3 linked regions of the Pelodiscus sinensis genome follow. The protein of the gene in region 1 interacts with the protein of each later gene in a pairwise test. Links are inferred from orthologs where the notes say so. Each region holds a gene or a part of one and is shown in the gene's direction. Other genes may lie near its edges.

Evidence for each region. The genes of interacting proteins can lie anywhere in the genome.
Region 2: the proteins of RTN3 (region 1) and CERT1 interact in binary tests that used the Homo sapiens proteins (3 or more experiments, as listed by UniProt). The link is inferred for Pelodiscus sinensis from reciprocal best matches to the Homo sapiens genes RTN3 and CERT1.
Region 3: the proteins of RTN3 (region 1) and PTPN9 interact in binary tests that used the Homo sapiens proteins (3 or more experiments, as listed by UniProt). The two-hybrid records come from large-scale screens. The link is inferred for Pelodiscus sinensis from reciprocal best matches to the Homo sapiens genes RTN3 and PTPN9.

What each region holds. Positions count from the first base shown.
Region 1 is NC_134721.1:33,994,052-34,001,625, reverse strand, and holds the start of RTN3 (reticulon-3), read left to right. Parts: upstream 1-4,570; 5' UTR 4,571-4,572; coding exon 4,573-4,702; intron 4,703-7,574. UniProt on the Homo sapiens protein: May be involved in membrane trafficking in the early secretory pathway. Inhibits BACE1 activity and amyloid precursor protein processing. May induce caspase-8 cascade and apoptosis.
Region 2 is NC_134716.1:84,591,280-84,598,158, reverse strand, and holds the start of CERT1 (ceramide transfer protein), read left to right. Parts: upstream 1-3,858; 5' UTR 3,859-4,412; coding exon 4,413-4,508; intron 4,509-6,879. UniProt on the Homo sapiens protein: Shelters ceramides and diacylglycerol lipids inside its START domain and mediates the intracellular trafficking of ceramides and diacylglycerol lipids in a non-vesicular manner.
Region 3 is NC_134724.1:34,422,656-34,429,732, forward strand, and holds the start of PTPN9 (tyrosine-protein phosphatase non-receptor type 9), read left to right. Parts: upstream 1-4,056; 5' UTR 4,057-4,877; coding exon 4,878-4,910; intron 4,911-7,077. UniProt on the Homo sapiens protein: Protein-tyrosine phosphatase that could participate in the transfer of hydrophobic ligands or in functions of the Golgi apparatus.

The sequences.
Region 1 (7,574 bases):
CCTCTCCGTATAAGAAATCCCCTTTCTGTCTATGGGACTGCACCTCCCTCGGGACCCCATGCCTCCCTCTGTGCGTGGGGAATGCCTATTCCCCCCCCATAGGGAACTCCAGCTCCACAGACCCCAGGGCCCGCCCGCCTTCTCCACCGGGGACTCCCCCACCACAGGAGATCCTAATACCCCCTTCTCCACCGATGGGCCCAGGCTGCCCGGGAGGGGGGAGGGGACCCCATTACCGGCCGCCTCCAGCTTGACACCGTTCGCTGCTGCCGCCACCGTGCAGGGATCAACATGGAGCCGCCTCCTCCTCGACCCCCCCCGCCCGCGCCGCGGGGCCAGGATGGGATGGGCGGGGCTATCGCCAGGAGGGAGGGAGAAGGCAGAGAGCCGACCGTCCCCGAGAGGCATGCCGGGAAATGTAGTCCCTTTGCCATCCCATCTGGTACGAACCCATTTCAACGAACTATGGCGTCAGAGGACTACAAATTCCAGCAACCATCCGGGCGGGCGCCCTCGCTACACGGGGAGCCTCTCTTTGGGTAGCTCTATTGTCCAGGACTATGTCTCTCGGCAGCCTCCTTGGGAGAGTAACCGCGGACCTGGCTGCTCTGGGCCCCACGCCACCCAAAGCATTCTCAGAGCAGAGCCTGGGATAATGCCCAGGCTTGCGAGAGTAAGAGATAGTGGTTGGCTCCTGGGAGTCCAAGGCAGGAGCCCTGACTGATTACAGAGCACTGGCAGAGCTTTGCATATAGGGCTCTGTATGAATGGTGCATCTTCCACAAAGACAGATGAGCCCTGCCTGGCCCTTCCCTGCAACCTGTGCATTGCCTTTGCTCACAATGCTTCTAGCTGGGCTTTGCGCCTTTCTTCTAGCCAGTGCATTATCTTTGCCTGTACATGTGGCTTCTTCCCATAGCTCCATTCACTGCAGCTCTCTTGCAGCTATTCTAAACAGTTCCTTCAAATGCTGTAGTTAAACTTGCTTCCTGGCTTCTGAGGAAGAGTCCCAAGGTATGAGACTGAGTCCTGGAACTGACAGCAAAAAGGAAGGAACTTTGTGGGCTGGCTGTAGAAGAGGAGTCATGCACAGCAGGTGGGCAGGCCTTTACACATGTATTGTTGTTGTTATTAATGTATTCCAGTAGTACCTACAGGCCCCAACACAAGGTAGACTTGAACCTGGGATGTCTAAAGCTTAATATAGGAGCCTCTACCCTGTGAGCTAAAAGCCAGCTGACTTTTAGCCCATGCTGTAGAGCAGGCATGTCAAACTGGCATTTAGGGGGCTGCATGCAGCCTGATCGAAATTTTTTGCAGCCCCCCCACTACATTTTTATAAAAGAATGAAGTGCAGCCCACTGGCCGCTCAGAGCATGTGGCCAAGTGCCTGCTCACAGTTGGCCGGGACACTACGCTACAGCAACTTCTCACGGCGGGCTGGGCTGCACCACGCATGCACGTATGGCCGGCTGGCAACTCTGCACTGGGCTCTCCAGCATATTCAACATTTAAAAGTACTTAAATTTATATTTAAATTAAAAAATATGTAAAATTAATTTTAAAATTAATGAGCAAATAATTTTATACATCAAATTATTGCAATATTATAAAATAACTAAAACAATCTAGAATAATAAATAATTATGACTGTCAAAAGCCCTATGGTTGCCAGGTGTCCAGTATTTGTGCCTTCTGCCTGGCACCTAAAATGGGTTTGTTTGTTTTTCCTCAACCAATTTTTTTCTTTTTTGGTCAAACAATGTGGCCCTGAAAGCTATCAGTTTTCATTTACATCGAGTTTGACATGCCTGCTGTAGAGGCCTCGGCTACGTCTACACTGGCCCCTTTTTCGAAAGGGGCATGCTAATTTTAAACTTCGGAATAGGGAAATCCGCGGGGGATTTAAATATCCCCCGCGGGATTTAAATAAAGATGTCCGCCGCTTTTTTCCGGCTTGGGGAAAAGCCGGAAAAAAGCGTCTAGACTGGCCCGATCCTCCGGAATAAAGCCCTATTCCGGAGGAGCTCTTATTCCTACTTCGAAGTAGGAATAAGAGCTCCTCCGGAATAGGGCTTTATTCCGGAGGATCGGGCCAGTCTAGACGCTTTTTTCCGGCTTTTCCCCAAGCCGGAAAAAAGCGGCGGACATCTTTATTTAAATCCCGCGGGGGATATTTAAATCCCCAGCGGATTTCCCTATTCCGAAGTTTAAAATTAGCATGTCCCTTTCGAAAAAGGGGCCAGTGTAGACGTAGCCCTCTTGTTCTTATCTGTTGCTGTGGTCTAGGTGCCACTGCATGGAACAGTATACCACACTAGGGCTACGTCTACACTGGCCCCTTTTCCGGAAGGGGCATGTTAATTTCAACTATCGTAGTAGGAGGGAAATCCGCGGGGGATTTAAATATCCCCCGCGGCATTTAAATAAAAATGTCCGCCGCTTTTTTCCGGCTTTTAGAAAAGCCGGAAAAGAGCGTCTACACTGGCCCCGATCCTCCGGAAAAAGCGCCCTTTTCCGGAGGCTCTTATTCCTACTTTTCCGGAGGCTCTTATTCCTACTTTGAAGTAGGAATAAGAGCCTCCGGAAAAGGGCGCTTTTTCCGGAGGATCGGGGCCAATGTAGACGCTCTTTTCCGGCTTTTCTAAAAGCCGGAAAAAAGCGGCGGACATTTTTATTTAAATGCCGCGGGGGATATTTAAATCCCCCGCGGATTTCCCTCCTACTACGATAGTTGAAATTAACATGCCCCTTCCGGAAAAGGGGCCAGTGTAGATGAGCCCTAGGTCTGTGGGTTACACAACTTTTATTAATAACTCATTTTTTACAAAATGCCTAAAAGTTTCATCAGTTTCCAAGCAATTTTACTTGTGGCATCTGTGCTGCTAGCAGGGCTTACTCAGTGTTCAGTCAGTACTCACTTTAGTGTCCCTATGCAACACGATGGGGGTGGGGGAGGGCACTGTGCTGCAAAGTGAGTAACTCAGTAGGGGGCACTCTTCACTCACACGCCAGACTGGCCCCATGCTGCACGAGAGGGGGTTCAATAAGCAATGCTGTTTCTTAAACACAGTGTAGAAAGAAGCTGGTTGAAGAGCCCCCACATTTTATTACACTTTGCTTGGAAAAGAACCCAGGAGTCCTGATTCCCAGTTGTTCCCAACCTGACTAGAAGCCACTCCCTGTTCTGATCCTACCTCTTAGATAATGCTGCAGTATTCCTGTATGTGGAAACAAAGATTCCCTCCAATAGGCACTCAGGAAGAGAAACAGCTCTGATGGGAATACGTTTGAAAGCAAATATACATTAGCAACTGTTTAGTTTCTGCTGATACATCAGAAACGCCATATATTCAAATATCTGAACTACAGTCTCTTCCATTTTGCCCTAAAAGGCACGGACAATCTTGTCCTGTGAGGCATGCAATGATCCAATTGCTTAACCAGAGAACGGAAAGGTAAAATCACTCTGATAAGGAAACAAAAGATGTTATCTTAACTACACCAATAGACAGCAAAGCATAGATAGCTCCAACCAGAGCCACAGCAAATCCCTGGAATGAGTGCAGCTCTGGTGCAGCCATGCAGGGCTGTTGGCACATGTTGGATGCCAGCTTTTGGAGTCATGACTGCATCAAAAGCTCAGTTTCCATTTATAAAACAAAGGAAGTTTCCAGCTTCTGTGGTTGTGGAGAAAAGTTTGAAAGGATAATTCAGCTGTAACTAATGCTGCCTGCATCTGCAGAGAGCCTGAGGCAATAGCTCAAAGCACAGGGAGCTGCTACCATGACCTCGTACATGACCAAGGCAGCCATACCTGCCTGACAGTCACTCAGGGGAGCAACCCTGTACTCCTCAGTGGGGAGTTAAGTCCCAGCCCCATAGGTCTCGGGAAGGGCTGGTTTGAAAGGAAATGGATTTAAATGTCTTTTTGATTTGCGAGAAAAGAGAAAAAACAGCAAAAAGAGAGAATGGGAAAATAAAGAAAAGGAAAGTGACAAAAGGCAAACGGATGAAATAAGAAAGGGGAGGAGAGAAAATACGAGAAAGGCTGAAGGGGAATAAATGAAAGACAAATTCTCCTTTCCCATTAAACTCGAACCAAAGAATCAATTCAGCAGCCGCCCGGTCTCGACTCAGCAGGGCGTCACCCGCCCTAGTCTGGTTTTCTGGAGCCTAAAGCACATATGTTAATCGGATCTATTGCGCATGCGTAAAAGGGGAGCCCACTCCGCCCTTGCCCACATTTGGCGCATGCGTAATAAGCAACCTCAAACCCTAAAACTCAGAAGGCGTAGTGAATACCTGGCGTCCGTTGACGCCTGCGCGTTGCGAGCGCCTCTCTGTTCCAGTGGCTCACGCCTGGTGCTCAACCGTCCAGCCTCTAGCTACAAGCGCTTGCGCGGGGTACGCCTTCTTCTCGGCCCTCCCCCATGGCGCATGCGCAGTTGCTATCCTGCAATCCGTCCTAGCTAGGACAGCCGAGCTCGGTTGCGCGGTGTCAGTCTACTCGGTATCTTCCCGCCGTGAGGGACGGACGTTTAGTGCTAGGCTCCCGTTGCTGTCGCGAAGATGGCCGACCCCGCCACCCAGTCGCCGTATATCTCCTCCTCCGCCGGAGGGGGCTCCTCAGAGCCGGGTACCGCCCCGATGCCCGCGGGCGGCCGCGACTGTAAGGGAACCAGCTCCCAGTCCTGTGCCGGTAAGAGCCGGGGGGAGGGGCAGGGAACAGCCGGGCAGCGGGCTGGGGGCGACGAGTGGGAGGAACAGCCTGTGGAGTATCTGGGAACAGCTGGGGTGGGGGGAGGGGGAACAGCCGTGTGAGTGGTGGGCACAGCCCATGGTGCTTGCGAGGCACAGCCTGGTGACAGCTGGGGGGCGGGGAACGTGGGCACGGGAGTGTGGGGGGGGAGCCTGAGGGTGGGAGAAGGGAACAGCCGGCGGGGGCGGCGAAAGAGGGAAGTAACTGGGGGTGGAGGCTGGGCTAAAGGAGTGGGGGGGGGAGCTGGGAGCAGTTTGGGTTTGGCGCGTGAGTGGGGGCTGAGATTTTGAGTAAGGGGGACTTGGGCTGAAGGTTGGATCGAGGTTGGGGCATGGGAAGCTTTGCTACAGGCTTGCTATCACTGGGGGATAGTTAGGGGCTTTGAAGTGCAAGGGTGGCAGGAATTTGGCTCATGGGGAGAGAACTGTGGTGGGGTATAGACTCGGGCTAGGTAGGGTGGATTTTGTAAAGTAAAAGGTGTGATTTTTAGAGCAGGGTGAGTTTTGGTGGCTGGAAGAAGATTGAGGTGGGGGTCTCAGATTGGGGTGGTGAGGATTGCAGAATGTACTATGTTGCACTTTCTAGTTTCATTTTGACAGTGATGGTTCAAACTAAAAGGGGACTGGGTCAGGGAACAATGTCTGAATTGAAGGGAGGTGATAGAGCAGATTCCCTTTGCCTTAGTGGTGTTCACTCCCAGATCTTGCTGAGCCTCCCAGTCTGGGCTGACTTTTACCGTCTCTGTTTCTTAAGGCCCAAAACTGTAGGAATTATCAAAAATCAGGGGGTGTGCTGAGGAGAGCACAATACCCACTGGATCACCCCTCTGCAAGGGCTGGATGGGTGATGATGCAAGATGTACAGTGTATATATATACACACACCCTCCATTGTTCCAATACTAAACATGGCAGTGAGGAAATACCTTAATTCCTAGAAAAATCCCTTTCACCATCACAAACATTTCTCAGGGCAGGTGGAAGAGCGGTGGGGGACTGCTGGAAGCTTGCAGTGATCTGTGTTTTTGAGGGGGTGGTAGCAATTGCAAATGCTCCCTTTTGTTATGTTGCTGCTCAGTAATTGGAGTGGGGGTGGAGGGAGAGCATATTAAACAAAGCAGTATGTGGCTAAATCCCCCCTTCATTTAAGGGGAGCTGTCCAAAATAAGAGGCTGTGCTTTACTTCTCTTTATATCCCTGTCAGGCTCGGTGTTGGCAAGCTAGCTTCTCTTGCAAAGATCTGCACTGCAGATGCCTTCTTGGAGGGGGGGAAAAACTGGGCAGGTGACAGCTCTTAAAGGGGCAGCGCTTTTTATAACAGCCATAACAATGATAAACACAATTTCATCTTTTTCAACAAGCATCCAGAGCAAAAATGATTTGTTAGCTTTAAAAATTCATGGGTCTTCTGTTTTAACTTGTTTACCAAATTGCCTGTCTCCTGCGTGGGAATGTACCAGGCTGGCATGTTTTTCTCACTAAATAGAATTCATTTGGTTGAGAAGCTGATTTTCCGGGGTGGCTGTAGAAACTGCTCATCCCAGCACATGAGCTGTACAGCAGCTTCCATCTTTCGTCTTAAAGCCCAACACCCTTTTGAAGTGCCATACAAGCCTAATTTCAGAGATGAAATGGCTTTCCTACTTCTTAGCAGGACAGGTCTGTGTGGTTACATGCAAGCGAAGGAAGATGAGGCAGCATGCTTTCACACTTCAGCCTTACAGCATGCGAGTATAATGTATGCCTTTCTGGAACCTTGTGTCATGATGCTTTTCCACCCCCTCCTTGCAGATGTTTTAGTTTGTGCCAGAACTGGGGTGCAAAGGGAGGTTATTACTCAGCAATTTAGTGCTTTGCCTTCATCATTATTGGTTAATCCATCACCCTGTCTGCTCTGAAATGCAGCCCTTTCACCCAGTATTTGAGGACTGTTTATTCTCTGATTCACCACAATTGTTTGTGAATTACCTCAGCTATCCTAGAAATCAAACCTTTGTCCTCAAATTCTCCAGATAAGCTAGTGTTCTATAAATGTTGAGCCATCTTGACAGCTATTGGCACCGTGGTTTAACAGACAGTTTGTAATCAGAAGGCAAAAAGGGTTCAGAGTCATGTTTCTTCTAGAATCAGGTGTGGACTCTGTTCCCCAAGAAGATTAATTTATGCCCAGTGTCTGCCTGAAGCTCAGATTAAACATATGCAAGATGATATACCAAAATGATGTAATATGACTCACATGTAACAGTCATGTTTTCCGCTATTGGGGAAGTGGTGTCGTTTAGTGATTAGAACCTTGGTGTCCAACCAGTTCTGAAGCCATTATAGTGGCTACTGCTGTAGCGAACTAGCCACACTCAACCAGTCAAATAGCCACACGTGGCTAGTGGATAGCGTGTTGGACACTACAAGGTTAGAACATGGAATGAAGGTGGATGGGTGTCAAATCTTCAGTTCAGTTTACCCATCTGTATTCAGGAGAATTAAGCTAATTCAGTGCTTATTAATGTGTTAATAGTAAAAACATGGGTAGCCTGCAAAACACATTTTATCTGACTTTTTTTCTATGTCCCAAAACTAAATGTTTATTACAGCAGTTTGTATATCTTATCACAACTGTAGTATCTGAACTTGGTTTTGTTCTAGATACTGTTTGCACTGCATTTTTTTTATAAATTCCACTGCAAACAACATTTAAAAAAATCTTTGATGTCTTGATTTTTAAATAGCAACACTTCTGGAGATTAAAGCCATCTGTTTGCCCAGTGAACTGCTTATGCATAATGACTTGTGCCTCAGTTTGAGATGCTGCATAGT
Region 2 (6,879 bases), on another chromosome or scaffold:
ATACTACATATTAAACATGGTTTTGTTGGACCTAGATTTGGTGTTCTTTGAGATTTCACATTGTATTGTCAAAATTAGGGTCCTACCAAATTCATAATTCACTTTGGTCGATTTCTCAGTCATAGGTTTTAAAAATGATAAATTTCATTATTTCAAAATCTGAAATTTTGCATTATTGTAATTGTAGGGGTCCTGACACAAAAAGGAGTTTTGTGGGGTCCCAATGTTATTTTATTGGGGTTGCAGTATTGTTATCCTTACTTCTGTGCAGCTGCTGGCAGCAGCACTGCCTTCAGAACTGGGCAGCTGGACTAGGTCTACACTGCGGAGCTATTTCGGGATACTAAAAGTATCCCAAAATAGCTATTTTGCATCTAGTGAAGCAGCCCATTACTTGTAAATAGATTTTGAAATAATGGGTGGCTTATTCTGACGTCCTGATAACCCTCGTTCTACAAGGATTAAGGGGAATTTTGAAATAAGCTATTTCGAGTTAAGGGCACAGTGTATATACACCCCTGAAGAGCAGTGGCTGCTGGCCAGAAATCCATCCCTGAAGGCATATCTACTGCCAGAAGCAGCGCAGAAATAACAGTGACATTATATGGTATTGCCACCCTTGTTCTTTTACAGCTACCCGCAGAGCTAGGTCCTTAGTCAGCAGTTGTCACTCTCTGGCACCCAGCTCTAAAATCAGCAAGGTTGCAGGAATTATAAATGAGGTCCTACCAGGTTTTGGAACATATAGAAAAACTTAACAACAAATCACCGGGACTGGATGGCATTTATCCAAGGGTTTTAAAAGAACTCAAATGGGAAACTGTACAACTATTATCTGTGGTTTGTAACCAATCCTTTAAATCGGCTTCTGTATCTAATTACTGGAAGATAACTAACGTGACACCAATATTTAAAAAGGGCTTTAGAGGCGATCCTGGCAATTACAGACTGGTAAGTCTAACTTCATTACCAGGTAAATTAGTCGAAACAATAGTAACGAATAAAATTGTCAGGCATGTAGAAGAAAATAAGTTGTTGGACAAAAGTCAACATGGTTTCTGTAAAGGGAAATCATGTCTTACTAATCTATTAGAGTTCTTTGAAGAAGTTAACAAACATGCAGACAAGGGGGATCCAACAGATATAGTATACTTAGGTTTTCAGAAAGCCTTTGACAAGGTCCCTCACCAAAGGCTCTTGTGTAAATTACATTGTCATGGGATAAGAGGGAAGGTCCTTTCATGGATTGAGAACTGGTTAAAAGACAGGAAACAAAGGGTAGGAATAAATGGTAAATTTTCAGAATGGAGAGGGGTAACTAGTGGCATCCCCCATAGGTCAGTCCTGGGACCTATCGTGTTCAACTTATTCATAAATTATCTGAAAAAAGGGGTAATCAGCGAGGTGGTAAAGTTGCTGATGATACTAAACTGTTTAAGATAGTCAAGACAGAAGCAGACTGTGAAGAACTTCAAAAAGATCTCACCAAACTGAGTGATTGAGCAACAAAATGGCAAATGAAATTTAATGTGGATAAGTGTAAAGTAATGCACGTTGGAAAAAAAACCCCCAAATATACGTACAGTATGATGGGGGCTAATTTGGCTACGATAAATCAGGAAAGAGATCTTGGAGTTACCGTGGATAGTTCTCTGAAAACTTCCACACAGTGTGCAGCGGCGGTCAAAAAGGCAAATAGGATGTAAGGAATTATTAAGAAAGGGATAGAAAATAAGACACAGAATATCTTACTACCCCTGTATAAAATTATGGTACGCCCACATCTTGAATACTGTGTACAGATGTGGTCTCCTCACTTCAAAAAAGATATTTTGGCCTTGGAAAGGGTTCAGAAAAGGGCAATTAAAATGATTAGGGGTTTGGAACGGGTCCCATATGAAGAGAGGCTAAAGCGACTTTTCAGTTTAGAAAAGAGGAGACTGAGGGGGGAATAGGATAGAGGTATATAAAATCATGAGTGGTGTGGAGAAGGCGAATAAAGAAAAATTATTTATTAGTTTCCATAATAGAAGAACTAGAGGACACCAAATGAAATTAATGGGTAGCAGGTTTAAAACTAATACAAGAAAGTTCTTCTTCACACAGCGCATAGTCAACCTGTGGAACTCCTTGCCAGAGGAGGCTGTGAAGGCTAGGACTATAACAGAGTTTAAAGAGAAGCTAGATAATTTTCTGGAGGTTAGGTTCATAAAAGGCTATTAGCCAGGGGATAGAAATGGTGTCCCTGGCTTCTGTTTGTCAGAGGCTAAAGATGGATGGCAGGAGACAAATGGCTTGATCATTGTCTTCGGTCCACCCCCTCTGGGGCACCTGGCGCTGGCCACTGTCAGCAGACAGACTTCTGGGCTAGATGTACCTTTGGTCTGACCCAGTACAGCCATTCTTATGTAATGCCACTGACCAGCATTAAAACCACCCCTCTCCAGTTACCCAGCTCCGAAGGCAGTGCAGAAGTAAAGGTGGAAATAACATGACCCTCCTAAAATAGCCTTATGAGTCCTCTGCAACATCATTTTAGGTCAGGACCCACAATTTGAGAAACACTGGTCTCCCGGGTAAAAGCATGGCTGTGAGTTTGGTAGGACCCTATTTATAATTCCTGCAACCAGCGGTCACAGAACCATACTGCACTATGCAGGCCTTCTGACTCAGGTCTGCTGCTTGTCCTGCATACGTACTACAACATAAGATTGTCACAAAGATTCGGACAAGATTTGACTTGAACCAGAGCCACAGCACAACTTGAACTCTAACACTTCCCCCTCCCTGACCCAGGATCCTAGGACTTGGATTATGAATGCTTGCTAATTTGAATCTAATTGTTATGTGTGTGGATGGAAGAGGGGCAGCATTTGGCCTGTCCACACTAGACAGCTTACAGCAGCACATCTGTACTGATGCAGCTGCACTGCTATAAAATCTCCTATGCAGCCACATAAGAAAGAGCTTTTGTGGGCATAACTGGACCACTCTCAAAAAGGGATGGGAGCTATATCAGCAGGAGAGCATCTATCAGCCTTGCCCGGGTGGGGGTCACACAGCCCATCCAACTGAGATGAGTTTTAAGAACAAAAGTATTAGTGTAGACATAGTGCAGTGCAGACATGCCCTGACATGCCTGCAGGACATCTATCAGTCACACACAGTGCAGAAAGGATTTCTTTCACAGGCCAGAGGTTAACACACTTCCTTTGAGAAGAGCAAGGAACAAAGCAGTGAATGCCCTTTCGCCTCGCACCTACTGCCCGAAATCTCCTGCTTTGGGTCTGGGGCGCAGGGTGGTCTGGCTACCGATGGTTTCCCTCCCAGTGCCAGCAGCTCCTCAGTGACGCGAGTGAGCCCAGCCCCCCGGTGCCGACCCCACGGACGGAGGACGCTGCGGCTCGGCGCGGCCTGGGTTACCTGCGGACGGGCAAACGCATCACTTCGAGCTACCCCTGCTCTGTCGCAACGCAACACACCACCGCGGCTCTCAACTTCCCTGCCCGCTCCCGCCGCTTCCTGTCGTCTCATTGCCCCAGCCACGCCTCCACCTTGTTTAAAGGGGCCGTTTGTAACGGGAGAAAACACCGAACGTCTTCCCCAAGGGCCACACTGGGGCAGGGGGAACAGCCGCACGCGGGGGGTGGGCGATCGCCTCCTTGCCCAAGCTGGGAGGAGGAACCGTTCCCGCTCGCAACAGAGGAGCTAGAGGGAAGAGCAGGTGACAGGTCAGACATAGACCAGCCTCCCCACTACTGCCTTCACCGAAGCGGAACCGCGGCTAAGCTTTTGGGCGGGCACTGGGGAAAAGATGGGGGGAGGGGTGAGAGGCCGTAATTAGGAGACACACATACAACCCACCTAAAATGGCCGTTCTTAACTTTTGAATCAAGGGTGGCGGCCCTGCCCCCTCTCACTAGACTACAATTCCCAAGTTCCACCCCCCCCCCATTCCCAGCCTCCCAGGATGCATCACACCATCACGCTTCCTGCCCCTCCCTCCAGACTACAATTCCCAGCAAGCAATGCGCTCCCCCTGCCAAGTGGGGTTGGGGGGAGTTGGTAAATAGTGGCAGAGAGCGAGTTCCTAGAGTAAGATGGCGGCGGCAGCGGTAGCTGCGGTGGCGCTTTGAGTGGCAGTGGACACTACCCCTCGCGCTGTGGCTCTTACTGTGGGTCGGGGCAGCGGCGCTGCACTGAGGGCAGAGGCGAGGAGTCGAGTATCGGAGCTGCGGCCCCGGCAGCTGCAAAGAGGCCAGGCGCGGGTAGCGCCACCCCGGGAGCCGAGAGGTGTCGCCCAGGTAGAGCCCCCCCGGCCGTCGCTCCCGTCCCCAAGGCAGGAGGAGGCTGCTGTGGGCGGGGGCCGCTCGCTGTTTCCCTGCTCGACGGTGGCTGCAGGCGGCGCCTCCATGTCGGACAACCAGAGCTGGAATTCCTCCGGCTCCGAGGAGGATCCCGAAACCGAGTCCGGGCCGCCTGTTGAGCTCTGCGGGGTCCTCAGCAAGGTGAGCAACAGCAGCCCCTTTCCTCGGGGGGACTCGGAGTCTGCTCTTTCCCCGGGCGGCTGGGGCCGCGCGCACCCCCGCGCTACCCTGCAGAATTGGGCTAGGCTCCCGTCTCGCTGGCAGTTACCCGTGTGGAGGGGCAGCCCCGCACCCCTTCGCCCACCCCGCGGAGACACGGGGCTGGCTTGGCTGGGGCAGCGGCCACCTGACCTAAGAAAGCCTGAAAATGAGTCATTCCCCGGCAAACACCCACTCCCAGACCGCGGGCGGGGCTGTAACGGCCCACACATCCCGCGAGGGCGTCCCCTCCGGCCCTCCCTGCTGCCAGCGCAGCCCCCGCAGTTCTCCATCTCTCTCCTGCCGCTGTCAGTGCTCTCCTTCCCGTAAGCTAGGCGAGGCGGGGAGCCCCGCGGACAGGGTGTGCAGACTGTCTTAAAATCCATCCTGCAGACCGATGGGGGGTGCTCTCATAGTCCCCTTTCCCTTCTTAAATGGGTAGGCGTACTCTGCATGAATGAGTGTTCCCTTGTCTCCTCTTTCTTGATCCCCCAACTTGGCACCCCATCCCCTGACTCACCCTCCGCAAGCGTACATTTTGGGACCGCAGGCTTGTAACTAGACTGATGTAGAAGGTGAGCAGGGGCAGTGAGGGCATCTCTATTCATCAGGTTTTTGTCTGGAACCTGGCAATCCTATCCTAGCTAGTGTGCGTTACAAGCTAGTTTGGAAGGATAGCTGTGATGACTAGGATTGGACTCCAGCACTGAATCTGTATAGGGAGGAGAGAGAGTTCTTGGGGGTCACGAAGGAAACACTTTTTTTTCTTGCGAAGACTTTTTGCAGGAAATAGCAGCATGTGATGTGCCCTTACAAATCACTTCTAATCAATAGGAATACGTCAAAGAGGAGTGGCATGGCCTTTAATCCCGGCATTAAAACAGTGTAATAAAATACCCTTGCAGCAAGAGAACGGAGTAAAGAGGTGAAAAAGGAAAAATTGTATGGATTATTGCTTTTAAAAATTGTGGTGCTTATGCTTATCTGTGTAGGAATTAAATCTATTTTTACTCTTTTATTGCTGTGAATTTGATAAAAATGAATTGTGAGATATCGGGTTAGGGAATTAAGTTTTAAATAATGTTTTAAAGACTAAATGTTTTAATTGAACAATTTCAGTAGAAGAAAGTAGCTTCTCAATATATACTTAATGCCAAGAGAATTTAAATATTTTTGCATATCTCTCTATATTCAGAGGGGTTAAGGCAGAACTGAGTGGATGGGTCATGGGATATGGAGATCATGAGCAGCTCTGGATCATGAGTAGGGAAAACATGTGGGCTATATCCAGCCCTTCAGGGCTTTTAATCTGGCTTTCAGGATTATCAGTCTGGCAGTGCCGTGGGACTAAGGCAGGCTACTCCTGCCTTGGCCTGTGTCACTCCACAGAAGTGTTCGGCATATCCCTGCAACCCCATGGGCTTGGGGGTTCTACATGCTGTCCTCATCAGCAGGCACCATTCCCCCAGCTCCCATTGGCCAGGAATGGGGAACCATGGTTTATAGCTGTTGTGGAGACAGTGACAGCAGGCAAGGGTAGCTCATGGGGCCACCCGTTTTCCGCCCCCTCCCCCCAGGAGCCAACTACCTTAGGAGCAGAATGGGGCCAGGACAGGGTGGGAGCCTGCTTTGGCACTGCTGACCAGGAACTGCCCAAAGTAAGTGGTGCTTGGCTGGAGCCTGCACCTTTAGCCCTCTATTTCAGTCCCTGTCCTGAACTCCTGTCCTGAGCCCCCATCCCTGACCTAGCCTTACATTTATGGCCCACCATACAATTTCCCTAGAGCCTCAAAGTTTGCCCAGTACTTGATACTGAAAAAGTTATGTTACTATGTTTTTGTGAGGGAGTGAGACTCTGTTTATGAACTCTCCAATTAAAAAATATTTCTAAGATCATAGATGAGAGAAGTGCTGAGGAGAGGAAGCAGGCCTTGGCACTGATCTTCAGGATTTCATGTTTGATGCTGTGGAGGGGACAGGAAATATGTTTTTACATGATTCGGCTCAGAAATGTTGGGTTTATTACCCAAGATTTCTGCAACGTTATCTCCCTATTAGATGATTCAGATCATTAAGTAGAAAATCTGGTATTTGTTTCTAGTAGTATGCCATCAGTTTTAATATTGGCAAATGAAATGAATAAGAATTATATTCTAGGTCCTAATGATAAATTATCACGTATGTTAAATCCTAAAGAATTTCCCATACAAATGTGTCATCTTATAAATGCACTGTGTGCAATCTTTAGAGATATGTATGTAGTGCTTATACTCATATGATAGCTGTTGCCTTTACTGTTAGCGTCCAAGTGAAA
Region 3 (7,077 bases), on another chromosome or scaffold:
GAGAACCAGGGCCTGTGATCTGGAAGCTTCTCTCAGTTGTCTGAAGAAAGCCTTGTCTACCTCATCCACCTGATCCGGTGGAATATAGCAGACACCTACCACAACATCACCCCTGTTGCTTCTGTCTCTAAACTTAACCCATAGACTCTCAGGCTTTTCTTCCTCTATCTACTGGAGCTCTGAGCAATCATACTGCTCTCTTACATACAGTGCAACCCCTCCTCCTTTTCTCCCCCGCCTGTTCTTCCTGAACAGTTTATACCCTTCCATGGCGGTGCTCCAGTCATGTGAGTCATCCCACCAAGTCTCCATTATTCCAGTCAAATCACAGTTCTTTGACTGGGCCAGGGCTTCTAATTCTTTCTGTCTGTTTCCTATTCATGTAGATACCCTTAGATACACCTTAGATAACCAGTTGATTGCCCTACCTTCTCCATTTGAATCAGGGGTCCTCCTTTGTTGCTCCTTCCTCCGTGTTTCTTCCCCATATCCCACTTCCCCACAGGTTTGAACTCTTTATTATGTTATATTGACAGTTATGCTCAGTGAGGGATGGAGATGGTATGTTAGGGAGTAAGTGTTGTAAGACCTAAACCAGTGACAGGTTCATCTTGTAAAATGACAAATATTGCTGTAGCGCTCTGCAAATCTCAGATTTTGAAGTCAAAATTAAACTGCTTGGAGGAAATTGATGCAGGATTCCCCTTGGAAGCCTGGGCCCCTAATCAGGGCACTTTTCAGATGCAATAAAGCACTAATTTAATTAATCCTCCAGGAATCCAAATCTAAGCCTAAGCATCCTTGGCCTCTTGCTTCAGGGAAAGCTGCCGCTCTGGTTTCTGTCTGTATACTTCCTTCACAGAGCTTTCCAAGGCTGTCCAGCAAAGAGGGGAGTCAAATACAGTAGGAAGAAAGGGGCTTTTTCCTCTACTAGCAGGGGGAAACTGAAGCTTTCATTCTATATTGTAAAGGATCTCTTGCAGATACAGCTGCATGATTCTGCTTTAAAATATTAGCAGACTCCAGGAATAAATCTGAGCAGAAAATGAAAGGGGTGGGAGAGAAATTGTTAAGCAAAAGTGGCTGGCTGCAAAGCATTCTGGTTCCATAGCTCAGAGTTTTAGGGGCGATGCTGATCCTGGGGCGCACACCACCCTCCTGCAGCTCCTTGTATGCACAAGTGACATGTAAATCTCTGCCAGGAGCCTGCTGAGGCAGTACAAGCATATAGGTGGGGGCATAGGGATAGCTTGTAAGGACTCACTGCTAACCCCCAATAGAACAAAGTAGCTCAAACGTGGCCGGTGGTTTCTAGAGGTGTGGTCACCTTTAGTGTGGAGATATGGCCTATGCTCACAGCCCACCTCAAAGCCCCATAAGCCAGCTGGATTTTCAGCCTCCATGGAAAAGATAGAGATAGCTGCACTCTGCTCCATTTTCTTGCAAGTTAAATACAAACTCTCCAGTTGCAGGCAAGTTGCCAGGGCAGCCCTTGTCAGCAGAACAAAATGTTCCCCTCCTCCCCCCGCCACTGAGACTGGTTGGGATCCAGCTTTCTGAACCAGCAGGCCCTGCTGCAGTAACCAAACATGCTCCCAGAGGCAGTGTGCAGCACCTGTGGCCTGAAGAGCTCTGGATCAAAGCCCTGGGAGCATTTTTTAAAAACCCTGGAGCACCAGGTTGCTCCACTCCCCACTAGCAGCAGCTGCTGTTCAGCTGTGTCAGTGGAACCGCCCACCCAGACTTTGAAATGCCACTGGTAGAGGTGGAAGTAGAACTAGTTCATGGATACGGGGGAGTGGTGGTGAGCACCCATCCTTTCCCTGGAAATGGCACCTGAAACTTGTCTGGCTGACGTGGTGAAATGGTACGGAAAAAATTGCAGTTGCTGAGCTAGTTCACTACTGATCTGGTTCCGCTCCAAGGGAATCCATCATCTCGCTCTCGTTCTAGAGATGAATATTGTTTGTGCATAGCCGTGCGGCAGCACAGTGTAAGTGAACCAGCCAGGTGGATCTTTGCTTCTCTCCATCAAATAGAAATCAAATAGGTAAATTTTTCTTTTTATTTCATATATAACAACAGTGACCACTTCCCATCAGAACATGCTCCAGTGAGGGGGATGGTTTGAACTCTGACCACAGCTTTTATGGATCCTGGTCTGTCAGGGAATTGGCCAGGTGCATCTCTAGTGCCGGAGAGATCAGTGTAGTATACAGTATGAATTAAGGGCTACCGGTAGGCAAGGCACTGTACACTTAGAAGACAAGGCCCCTGCTCTGTGAAGTTGAACACCCAAGGCAGGTGTTATTTACTGGTACAGTCAGAGCTCACAGGAGCCTTAGTCATGGATTAGACTCCATTGTGCTAGGTGCTGTACAAACAGAACAAAAAGATGGTCCCTGCCTCCAAAGAGTTTACAAAGTAAGTAAAGATAATGGACCATGGGTGATAGAAAAGGGGAAGAGATAAATGTAAACAATGGGAAAGAACTAAAGCTAAGCTCTTATAAGCACAATACTTTTTAAGGATAAGATAGTTTATCTATTAGTATTGTCTCCATAATGACCAGACACCAGAGTGGGAGTTGATAGCAGTTGAATATAGTGGAAGCTCTCTGGGGCGGGGTGATCTCGCAGGGATGTGACACAGATCTCAGACTCTGGGCCATGTCAAATCTTGAACTGCTGTCATCTGCCCTAATCCTATCTCTATGGGAATGTATTGGAGTGCACAGCAAGGCATTCGAAAAAAGAAGACAGTACGTTTTGGAGGAGAATTTGGACATGAGGAAAACAGAAAGGGAGTTTTACTTTTAAAACTTTAGTTAAATCTAGATCGGATTACAGGAAACAGCCACAAAGCAGGGATCTGAAGTTGAGATCAAATGAGCCAGCTCTTTGGGCCCTGCATGAATTTTTCCTGATCAGCAGTTCTTTAGTTTCTCACGACATGACCTTCCATTCTCTCCTCCTCAAAAGGCACTTTTACACATCTGTTCAGCTCCTGGGGTGGCAGGAAAGGTGGGTGCTCTAGTGTAGATAAGGTTCCAGCAGCTGCTACCATTTTAACCACCCTGTCACATAGACTTGCTCTGGCTTAGTCAAAAAGGTACTTAAAATACCAGTGGCTACTGGACTGTTGTTTAACCCGCATAAGAACGGCCATACAGGGTCAGACCAAAGGTCCTTGTAGCCCAGTATCCTGTCTGTCGGCAGTGGCTAATGCTGAGACAGAGTTGCACAGGAGTAACAAGAGTGGGAATATCTTTATTAAAAAAGACTTGGGCAGAGAAGGGCAAGGAGACCTGTCAGCCCTACGCCAGTCGCCTCTGCTCCCCGGGGTTACTTGAAGAAAGCGTCTGTAATGGTAAGAGGTGCCAAATGTACCCCCCAGGCACACTTGTCTTTTGTTCTCTTCACTATAAATTCTTATCGTGCGCTCATCACTGAAGCATCCTGTTACAGTCCCCTCCTGCCCATCTTTGCTTGTTATCAGGGTCCCAGTCCTGCCACTGGATCCCCTCAGGAAGATCTTGCTGCCATTGACCTGCAAGGGCCCTGACTGTGTTCGTGGCCTTAGAATGCATGGGCTAGCTCTTGCAAACAGCTGTGCCCACAGTGCGCCAGGCACGTGACAACACATACAAGAACAAAGGTGGGGGGCAACCATGCTAGGTTTTTATCTAGCCATAATGTTCTGGGTAGACTTGGAGGTGTGGAAAGGATTCACGCCTCCACTGAATTACGGGAATTCGGGATCTAAGGGCCTGTTTGCAGGTACAGAACAGCAGGATGACTCTAATATTCTCTTAAACCGGGATGACTCAATATTTTCTGTTGGATGTGGCTGTCCCTCCCTTGTCTAGATTCCTCTTTCTTTCCCTTGTTTGCTGCCCTGCCTCTGTCTCCCTTGCCCTGGATAGTTTCCTGTTTCTCTCTCCTTCCTTTGGACGAATGCCTCTTTCAGCCTCCCCCCCCCCCCCCCCCCCTCGGCTTATGCAGAACTCTCTCCCTCCCTGGGTGAGAGCCCTCTCCCTGGCTGTCCTCTGCTGTTGTGAATGAGATTCAGTTTCTGAATGGAGTTGCTGGGGGCTCTGGCTGGCTCAGCAGGGGAAGCAGCATTGGCCATGAGAGGAGGGGGGGCGGGGTGTCTTTCCTTCCTTCCTCTCCGCTGCTTTTGAGGAATAAGGGCTGCGAGGCAGACAGGCGAGAGATGGAGGCTGCAGGAAGGAGTTTCATTCTCTAAAAGGAAAATACAGCTGAAGCCAGGGATTTGATGGTCTCAGGCGAACTCTGTGCAGGAAGCAAGGGCAGGGGGATCTTGCAAAGGCAGAGAAGAAAAACGGAGGCGGCTGAAGCCATAGCCGGGAGAGATTGCGAGCCGATCTGGGGGGGATGAAACTTCCAGGACAGCGGGGTGTTTCCCCCCCTTCTTGGGCGTGCGATTTTCTGTAGCCTGCAGAAAGCCGCGAGGGGGACCGGAGGGAGCCCGGAGTTTGCGAAGGAGCCAGAAGAATCGGGGCCGGTTCAGAGGGGACAAAACTGAACTTCCAAGTCACACCCGGCCTGCGGGGGCAGGGATCGCTCGGCCGCCTTGCCCCCTCCAAGCGTGTCGCTCGGCTGCGAGGGCGGCTAATGGGCGCTCGCCGGGCGCTCGGAAGCCGCGTCCCCAGTTGAGCGGGGCGTGTGCGGGGCCCCGGGCGGCGCGGGAGGCCGCTGCCCCGGCGGGGTGTGGGCAGGAGGAGCGGGGCAGGGGCCGGCTTGCGGGGCTGACTCAGGCTGGTCGATGGTTGGAAGCCCCGGTTTAAAAACTCCGCAGAAGCGAAGCAGCCGCCTCCGGAGCAGTGTGCAGGCGGGAGGAGCTGCGGCAGCAGGATGGCCGCAGAGCTGAGCCCGGAGGAGGAGCAGGTAACGCCGGGCCCCCCTCCCCCGGGCGCCCCACCGAGGGGCTGGCCGGTCTGAACTGGGGCCCAGGCAGGAAGGGGGGCGCCTCACACTGCCACCCACCCCCGGTGCTTCCTCCGGGGGCTCAGTGCAGAGGGGGCTTTGGGAGGAAGGGCTGGATCGGGGCCCCCTGCCCCCCATTTTCGTGATCTTCCCCCTTATTCTGCCCCCCGCCTTGAACTGGGGGCGCTCCCGGCCCCTCCGATTGGGAAGGGCCATTGGGGGACCCCCTAGAGCCTGGCCTCTTCTCCTTTCCGGGGGGGCCGCCGCGGCGCTGGGCCATTATCCCGGAGAAATGGGGGGTCACCTCGATGCGGAGCGGGCAGGAGATGGGCTGGGGGCGCTGCGGCCTAGTCTCCGGCTGGGCCCCATAGGGACCCCCCCCGCGCGCCCGCCCCATCGGGCTCCCCGCAGGGGGCGCAGCCCCGCCCCGAACGAACAGCTGGGGGGAATCACCTCCCTTGTTCCGGTGTCAGCCGCCGCCCCGGGGCCTGAGGCAGAAACAGGCGGGACGCCCCGCGGAGCACGGAGCGTGCAAGGGACATGGGGGGCTAGCCCCCCTTCCTCCCCGGCAGGAGCTGCCATAGGAGGTTTCAACCCCCAACCACATGTGGGGGCCTCAGTCTCGAGCCCGGCGGGGGGGCAGGCCTGGGGTGTTCCTGAGGTCTCACATCTGCGCCCCTTTGCCCCCCCCCCCCAGTCATCGCGGCCCTTTTTATTTTTCCGAGTGGGGCGGTGACGTGACACTGAAGATTGTGCAGTGAAGTCCCCCGTGTTCCTTCCCGAAATGATCTAGGGAGCGAGGCGGGCGGGCGAAAACAGTCCCCCCCGCCCCCCAGTCTGCGTGACCCTAGCTGCTCCTGGGCCTGCTGCTCATCAGCAGGCTCTGCCTCCTGTCCCCATCAGCTCCCGAGAGATCTCGGAGAGCAGCTTGTGCTCAGGGGACCGCTGGTATCTCTTCCTGGACCTGCTTCCGTGTGTGACCTTGGGAGGGAGTGGCTTTGCCTTTGGGCCTCAGTTTCCCCATCCAGGAAATGGGGCTGTCCACCTTGCCGTGAGTGCTGTGCACCTTACTGGACACTCCTGACATGTGCCCTGCTATCCCCCCACAAAATGTGCAGTGGAAGTAGGAGGAGATAACCGGGATTATCCCCTCCCCCATTTTAAACTGCAGCCACCCTCTTTTCCTGTTTTGCCCTCTTCATTTCGCTCTCGCCAAGGCTGGATTTTAAGATTTGTTGCTTCCCACGCCCCATTCCTCCCTGTGACGTTCACATCTTCTTGTCACTGGGTTGCGTCACTGCAGGAGGATGTTGCATACTTATAAATATAGGGACTGCTGTGAATTTTATCAGGGGTTGGGGGAGTGTTAACCTCATCCTGGTTATGGAGCGGAAAGCTGGTGTGTATGGCTCAGGCTGCTGATTCAAGCCAGCCCTGATTTTCCCATGCCCCTGTGCTCTTTAAAGATGAGAACTCTTTTATAGTCTGTAGCATTAACTCTTCTGTGCCCGCAGCTGCTTCCTGCAGGGCCTGGCTCTCTCCCCTTCCCTTCTCTCCTGTCCTTGTCCCCACTCGTCTCTGCTACCCTCATGGACTCACAGCAACGCCTCCCTTTCTGCCCAGGCTTAGACTGGTGTCCTCTGAGCAGTCCAGAGTAGTCCTCGGTCTGGCCAAGAAAAGTATCTGCTGATTTTGGGGAAGGCAACTGCAGCGTCTGTTATAGACAGGCTGATTCTGCTTGATTTGGAGCTGTAAAACATCCATGGCTCCACCAGGTTCTGGTTTCAGTGCAAATAAAGCGAGGTGAGCTCCGGACAAGCAGACTCCTGTGCTGAGTCCCACTGAAGTCAAGTCCCTGGGTCTGCATAGGCATTCATTGCAGAACCACTGGTCATTACAATATCAAGTCACCCTTAACAGCTGGCTTCTGTGTGAGATCAGGGTAAAACGTGACTGCTAGGTTTTAAACAGTCAGAAAAGGGGGCCTGGATTTTTTTTTTTTAAGAAAGATATTCTTTGCTTTATATTTTCAACGTGTCTTTAATAAATCAATCCTCCAAACACCCCTGTGAAGTGTGAATTATGATCACCATTTTACAGCTAGGGAAACTGAGGCACCGTGCTTGTG